2 linked regions of the Arabidopsis thaliana genome follow. The protein of the gene in region 2 interacts with the protein of the main gene of each other region in a pairwise test. Each region holds a gene or a part of one and is shown on either strand. Other genes may lie near its edges.

Region 1 (3,128 bases), on a different chromosome or scaffold from region 2:
TTTAGGCTTATACAGTTATACTTCAACACAAACTAGTAGATCTTAAATTTTAAGTTGATTACATTATGACCAACATGATCTATAGGAAATAATATATGTATAGAAAAGAGAAAAACTGATAGTGATAAATAGGATATTGATAAGCAAGTAGTTGATAAGCATTGACTTCCTCCATAAGTCATAGTCAGGATGGAGTGGTACGACATATCGTACATTTTTCTCATTTATCAAATTGGTTATAGTTATATATTTTATATAATTTTAATGTATAGTTGCCATTTAAATATCGTGCGTCTTTAATATAAAACGAAAGCGCTAATTTGTCGTTTACTCAATCGTTAATCTAATTAAATCATGTCAACGTTAGCTTAAGAGTACTTTGGTAGGTATTTGGTTCTTCTACTATTTCAGCGGCCATGGTACAGGCATGTCTCGGCCTACCAATGGGTGTTATTTCCTTACACATTTTTGGGCTACACTCATGCACAAATACATCTCTATTGTATGCAGTTCGAGTAAATTTATCTGTTTAGTTATTTTTTCGTGTAATCTGATCAATAAACAGGTTATAAGATGAGAAATCAAATATATTTGTTAATAAAAATTTTATACGAATATTTTACATAAATAATCGGCTAAGTTACTTTTACTATTTTAAAAGTCTATGTGTGTGTCTGATTGGCGAATATAAACGAGTTATTAAAAATAAAGGTAGGAATGTTGTACTTTTGGTTCATTTAAAAAAAAAAAAATCATTTTCGCTCTATCTTGAATTTTGATTTTAAACTACGAAATGTATATAAAGATACATTTTTAGTTTTTTTAATAAAGATATAAAGATATATTTTCATTGATTAAACTACTAATATATACATCCAACATTCTTATATTATATATACTTATATATGTAATTTATAGATATTTTGTCGCATATCTGTTAGCTTTATATGTTACGTGCAGAATAAACAAAACTAGGCGGCGTTAAATTATGTTTGTATAGGCTTGGTGTTTCTTATATAACCTTTGATTATAGATTCGTTGGTTGGCACTATGAAAGCGAGTGTCAAAGAAAAAAGATAGTATATGAATCGCGTCATTAAGTTGAAATAACAAAGGCTTTAATCAAAAGATTGAAAATTTAGAAAAGAAAAGGAAAAAATCAAAGATTGAAGCTGACCATCTCATGTAATTATTCAAGTTGTCTCACTAAGTCCACAATGTCAGCAATCAAAAATTATCCTTTGATCTACTACAGGTATTTTTCACACGCTAGCTACCCTTCTGACGAAACTGAAATAAGTAACAAAATAAAAACATTCAACTGCTATCTATTATAACAAAACCAAATGATTCAAATATGTAATTCATGTCTAGATAAATTTTACTGTGTATATTTATGGATATTGGTTTGCATAGGTTGTGAAAAGAGCGTGGGCTAACGCAAATCGACGACATAAATTCTCGAATTTTTATTAGGATGGAATTATAAATTAGATTTTATTGATTGTAACAAAGTGTTTTTTATAAAAAAGAAGATGGTGAGGCTAAATAAGGAGTAATAAATGGAAGCAATGAGACCAATTGACACGTTGTTATTAGTGTAAGCAAATGTCAACGCTTCGTTTGTCCATTTATAAAACCTAACTACTTCTTCTTCTTCTTCTTCCCAAATCATCAAACTCCATTTCACTTTCACTATGAAGCTTGTCTGGTCGCCGGAAACTGCTTCTGACGCCTACATCGACACCGTTAAATCGGTATGCCTTTTAACTAGATTACATATGTGTGTAAATACATGCTTTTTTTATATAATCTTTATTTGATTTTGCATGTAAATATATGTGTGTATAGTGTAAGAGCGACAAAGAGTCAGGAGTGGCAGAATTTTTATCAGCTACAGCGGCTGGATGGAACGCGAGGCTGATCGTTGAGACATGGTCACGCGGCGATCCAATCACGACTAGCGTCGGACTCGCGGTTGCTGCAACTCACACGGGTGGAAGACACGTGTGTATAGTACCTGACGAGCAATCTAAACTTGAGTACGTGTTGGCCATGAGAGGATTTGTTACGACGGAGGTTGTGGTGGTCGGAGAATCTGTTGAGAACACGATGGAGGAGTTTCCCGGTGTGGATTTCTTGGTGGTGGACTCGAAGCGGCGAGAGTTCGTCAGAACGCTGAGGTTTGCGAAGCTGAGCAACAAGGGTGCCGTTTTGGTGTGTAAAAACGCCATGCATAGAGCAATCTCTGGTTTTAAATGGCACGATGTGTTGAAAAGAGGAACACGTGTGGTGAGATCCGTGTTTTTACCGGTTGGTAGTGGGTTGGATATTGTACACGTGGGAGCTACTGGTCGTGGGGACTCGAGGAATCTTCGTAGCCGTTGGATTAGACACGTGGATCATCTGTCGGGAGAGGAGCATTTGTTCAGACGCTAAATTTGGATTTCCTCTTTTACCCTTTTTCCACCACTTCATTGTAGAGATGTATAAATACGTTAACAAAGCTTGAATAATTTTACTTTTCCCATAATCAAAAGTCTAATACTGTATGTATGTTGTGTTTTTACACGAATGTAAAATATTGCCAATTACTACAACTTCAAAACAACTACAAAATTATTTGATTTACACGCACATAGATTGATATATGGTTTTCTGATGATTCATTCAATGTTGATTCGAACAACCTTCTTAGCTCCAGTTGCAGATCGGCTCGAACCAGTCTGACTTTGGTCTGTTTGGCGACGAATTTGGTCAAGAGATGGAAGTACCCACCCTCCAAAACTATTATCAGAGCCTGTAACATTGTACAGTAACAAAAACAATACAGTATAATGGACTGAAACTCTTGAGATCAAAGATTAGTTTTGAGATGAAGAGTTTACTAACCAGTGAATTCATGCTTGCCAAGAGATGAATTGCCTTTCCATGCTTCTTCAAAGCCACTTAATTCATCTAAAACAAAAAAATTAAAGAAACGATCTTTTAGAATCCTGCCAGTTTTCTTTCAAAGAACTTTAAGTTATGATAAGGCTGTGTAGATTCTGCAGGACCTTCATCGAGGTTGTGAAGAGTCTGTGTCGACTCTACACCACCACTTGAGTTGAGCTTCCTAGTAACTGAAT
Region 2 (4,988 bases):
GATATTGGAACAAACAACAAGAGCTCTCCAGGAGACGTGTTTAAAGCCACATGATTCCGGTGATCTCGATACTCTGTTTGAGTCACTGGGAGATTGTGAGATTTTCCCAGCTGAATCTTTTCAAGGATTTAGCTTTGATGACATCTTCGCTGAGGACAATCCTCCTTCTTTGCTCAGCCCTGAGATGATCTCCTCTGAAGCAGCTTCTTCCAACCAAGATCTGACCAATGGAGATGATTATGGGTTCGACATTCTCCAGTCTTACTCTCTGGACGATCTATACCAGCTGCTCGCTGATCCACCAGAACAGAACTGCTCTTCCATGGTGATCCAAGGAGTTGACAAGGATCTTTTCGACATTTTGGGGATGAATTCTCAAACGCCTACAATGGCTTTGCCACCTAAAGGACTCTTCTCAGAGCTCATAAGCAGCAGTCTTAGCAACAACACTTGTAGTAGTTCTCTCACGAACGTGCAAGAGTACTCTGGTGTGAACCAGAGCAAAAGACGGAAGCTTGATACATCATCGGCGCATAGCTCAAGCTTGTTCCCTCAGGAGGAGACAGTAACAAGTCGGAGTTTGTGGATTGATGATGATGAGAGATCAAGTATTGGAGGGAACTGGAAGAAGCCTCACGAAGAAGGTGTGAAGAAGAAAAGAGCAAAGGCAGGAGAAAGCAGGAGGCCGAGGCCTAAGGACCGTCAGATGATACAAGACCGTATCAAGGAGTTGCGAGGGATGATTCCAAATGGAGCTAAGGTAAATTGAATAATAATATAGTTTAGTTTAGGGCATCCAAATTATAGATTAACAAATGCATTCTCTAATAAGTTTCGATATATATTTAAACAGTGTAGCATAGATACGTTGCTGGATCTGACCATAAAACACATGGTGTTCATGCAAAGCCTCGCCAAGTATGCAGAGAGACTCAAACAACCATACGAGTCTAAGGTAATGAATCAAATATATCCATTCAGTAAGTACACAAGTGTTTGAGTATTGATGAGTGAATGATGTTTATCAGCTGGTGAAGGAGAAAGAGAGAACATGGGCGTTGGAAGTGGGGGAAGAAGGAGTGGTATGTCCGATAATGGTGGAGGAATTGAACAGGGAAGGAGAAATGCAGATAGAGATGGTGTGTGAGGAAAGAGAGGAGTTCTTGGAGATAGGACAAGTGGTGAGAGGATTGGGATTGAAGATATTGAAAGGAGTGATGGAAACAAGAAAAGGACAAATATGGGCACACTTCATCGTACAGGCAAAGCCACAAGTCACAAGGATTCAAGTCTTGTACTCACTTGTTCAGCTCTTTCAACACCACACCAAACATGATGATTTATTATCATAGTATAATACCTACCACTTTGATTTTCTTTCTTTTTGTTACAACAACAACACAAGAATCTGTTGATAAATAGTAGTAACATTACATCAAAGAAGATTGTATGGGCTCGTGGAAAAAAAAGAAGAAGATTGTATGGGCTTTAAAACATTGACTAAGACAAAGAAAGAAGGCCCATTTAAAGAAAAAAGGAACGTAACGACACCGTTTTGGGTGGATAACAGTTAACTGACTGAATCAGAAAATAGATGCCCGTTATCCTTGACGAGGATAAAGGGGAGACACTGTATATAAATAAAAAGTTGAACAAAGATCAAATCCTCAATCTGTTTTTAGGGTTTCGAGAGAGAGAGAGAAATTGATTTTTGTTGATATTTGTGAAATTTGGTGGCGAAATTGAAGCTTCTTCATCGGTCGTTGTCTAAAAGCAATGGTGGATGGTTGATGAATGGAGGAGATGCTCTTCTTCTTCTATCCAATAACAATAATAAGAGACACGACGCTGACACAAACGCAGAACCATCTCACCACCGTCATCATCTCGGAGATGGCCGCCACACTCCTCTGTTCCCGATCTCGATTCCGATCGGCGATCGACTCCTATTGCTTCGCCCGTGAGGCCTTCTCCGATCCAATCTCCTTCCATCTCCTCACCCTTCTGTAACCACCAATCATCATCCCTCCTTTCTTCTTCTTCTTCTTCTGCTTCCGGATTATTAGTATCATTAGGTTAGAATATCTGCCATGGAAGAGGCTGACTTCGTCCAGAAAGATCCCACTGGTCGCTACATTAGGGTACGACGCTATCTGCAATTTCCATGGTTTCTAGGATAACAATGTCAATCTATAGACTTTTCCTCGATAAGATTTATATAAGTAATAGCTACGTTAATGGCTTGGAAGGTCACTTTAGGATAACAATCTTCTTCTTTCTTTCTTCAGTATAATGACGTTCTCGGGAGAGGAGCCTTCAAAACTGTGTATGTTTGTTTGTTTATACGTCCTTTACTTTTTCATTGCAGTGCCTATGTTACTCTGATTGCTTTTTAAGTATTTTTCTCATCTCTTGTTGTTGTTGTTACCTCGCCGCGTGTAGATATAAGGCATTTGATGAAGTCGAAGGTATTGAAGTTGCTTGGAACCTCATGAGCATTGAAGATGTCTTGCAGATGCCTGGCCAACTTGATAGGCTATATTCCGAAGTCCATCTCCTCAATTCCCTTAAACATGATAACATCATCAAACTCTTCTACTCTTGGGTTGATGATCATAACAAGTCCATCAACATGATCACTGAGCTTTTCACCTCTGGTAGTCTCACCCTGTATGTCTACTTACTCCTCTCCTCTCTTCTTCTCTTTTCATTATCTCTTATAATATATCTACGTCTGCCTTTCCATTGATTGTCATTTCTCTTGGTCCAAAGTTATCGCAAGAAGCACCGCAAAGTTGATCCCAAGGCCATCATGAACTGGGCAAGGCAGATTCTTAAAGGCCTGCACTATTTGCATTCTCAGACCCCTCCTGTAATTCACCGTGACCTTAAGTGCGACAATATTTTTGTCAATGGAAATACCGGAAAGGTCAAAATTGGAGATCTTGGGCTCGCTGCTGTGATGCAGCAACCCACTGCTCGAAGTGTGATTGGTAATAATACTATTAAAACCTCTTTAAGTCTTGTTGGTTTTAGGATAAGCTTTTCTAGAACTGAATATATTGAGTATGTTTTTCAGGCACTCCTGAATTCATGGCGCCTGAGCTTTATGAAGAAGAATATAATGAACTTGTCGACATCTATTCTTTTGGCATGTGCATGTTGGAGATGGTAACATGTGAATATCCATACAGAGAATGCAGAAACCAGGCTCAAATATACAAGAAGGTTACCTCGGTAAGTCTGACCTGATATATATAAGTCTTACATTTCTCTTCGACACAGGGATCGTCCTTGACCATTGTTGCATTAGCAGGGTATAAAACCTCAATCTCTCAGCAAAGTTGATGATCCTCAAGTTAAGCAATTCATAGAGAAGTGTCTTCTCCCAGCTCCTTCTAGACCAACTGCTCTAGAGCTCCTGAAGGACCAACTCCTTGCAGTAGATGGCGCCAAGGACTCCACTCTTACTGCTTCATCAAACACAACATTCAAACCTGCAATGCCACCACAGTGTGAATATCGTCCTATGGATGTTGAATATAAGAAGAATACAAGTGTTTCCATCTGCTCTTCTGCTAAAAGCAGCCAAGAATGCGCATTGCTCCAGACCATGGAAGTCCAGAGGGTTGCTGAAAGTACCGAATTCAAGCTGAGTGGAGAGAGGAGAGATGATGTGGCAGCATCAATGGCTCTGCGGATCGCGGGCTCATCTGGTCTGTTTCACGATATCTTATGGCCATTTTCTTTTTCTCTTCTCTTGCATATTTTCGAATTGCTTAATGACAGTATAAATTTTATATCAGGTCAAGCGAGAAAAGTTGATTTTGACTTCAATCTGAAGACAGACACAGCAAGAGCAGTTACAGGGGAGATGGTTGAAGAGCTTGATCTGTCAAGCCATGAGGTTACTGTGATAGCTGAGATGATAGATGAACTGATAATGAAGCTGAAGGCTAATCGAAGCCTGCCTAATGCAAACAGTGTATATCAGTCCAAGGATGAAGAAGCTGGAGAATCAATGAAGTCAGAGATATCAGCGGACTACTACCATCGGGTCTCCTCAAACGAGGGGTCACGGCTCGGCTGCTGCTGCGAGGCAGTAGAGTCATTGTTGTCCTCGTTTCTGGATTCATGCTCAATGGTGTCAAACAAGCAGTCGGAGGATCTGAAGACGGAGCTGAATGTGATAGAGTCACAATATAACCAATCGTGTCAACGACTGCTTAGAATGAAAGAGGAAGCTATAGAGAAGGCGAAACGGAAGTGGATGAAGCTGAGTTGATGATTCCTTCATTTCATTTAACGTAGCCACAGTTTTGGGATTTACTCAACTTTTTGTTTTGTTTCTTTGCCTTTTATTTCATTTCTCGTAGCTTTTGGTTACATGTAAAAATATGCATTGCATCAGGAATCACAGATTGAAAGAATGAAATGTATTTGACGCTAATTCAAAATTTAGAACTATATGGATTGTGTCATTGTGTGTACATATCTGTTAATAGTTTAGAAAATTGGCAAATTCATTTTCGAGATATAAAAAGATAGGAGCCAATGAAGAAGAATAAATAATTAAGAGATGATAACAAAAACAAAACAAAAAAGAAGCAATGACTGTTTGCTTTAATAAATAAAGATATTCAAAAATTCCATCACATGATTGCACCGACGACAGCGCAAGCCAGCGAAGCAGCGACAGTGGAGAAAGCAGAAATGAGCGAGGAGGAAGCAGACGATTTCTGAGAGAGAGGAATGGACCCGAAGGCGTTTTGGTAAGAGGGAGCGTCGGCGGCAGAAGACGGAGACAAGGCCTCTGCTTCGGCGGAGTAGGTGCCGACGGAGACTAGGAGCTTCTGGTACTTGGTACAGTGGCCGGGGTTTGCACTTGTGAAGTATAGGGTTCCGTTTTGGGTGAGGTTGAAGAGAGAGTTGCCGTCGTTCATGTACAAGATTGGGTCTTTGGTGTTGCAGCTCTTGAAATTGGAGGG

What was found.
Region 1: the proteins of WNK10 (region 2) and AT2G45360 interact in a two-hybrid assay, tested with the Arabidopsis thaliana proteins (one large-scale study listed by BioGRID).

What each region holds. Positions count from the first base shown.
Region 1 is NC_003071.7:18,696,922-18,700,049, forward strand, and holds AT2G45360 (ankyrin repeat/KH domain protein (DUF1442)), read left to right. Parts: upstream 1-1,670; 5' UTR 1,671-1,697; coding exon 1,698-1,757; intron 1,758-1,851; coding exon 1,852-2,439; 3' UTR 2,440-2,593; downstream 2,594-3,128. Other genes in the region: AT2G45380 (myeloid leukemia factor), read right to left, coding at 2,667-2,800, 2,893-2,958, 3,057-3,128.
Region 2 is NC_003070.9:24,017,830-24,022,817, forward strand, and holds WNK10 (with no lysine (K) kinase 10), read left to right. Parts: upstream 1-1,660; 5' UTR 1,661-1,754; coding exon of another isoform or gene 1,755-1,757; 5' UTR 1,758-2,090; coding exon 2,091-2,141; intron 2,142-2,288; coding exon 2,289-2,326; intron 2,327-2,442; coding exon 2,443-2,670; intron 2,671-2,772; coding exon 2,773-2,993; intron 2,994-3,079; coding exon 3,080-3,237; intron 3,238-3,316; coding exon 3,317-3,716; intron 3,717-3,806; coding exon 3,807-4,285; 3' UTR 4,286-4,481; downstream 4,482-4,988. Other genes in the region: AT1G64625 (Serine/threonine-protein kinase WNK (With No Lysine)-like protein), read left to right, coding at 1-760, 854-955, 1,029-1,352; ENODL8 (early nodulin-like protein 8), read right to left, coding at 4,653-4,988. UniProt on the Arabidopsis thaliana protein: May regulate flowering time by modulating the photoperiod pathway.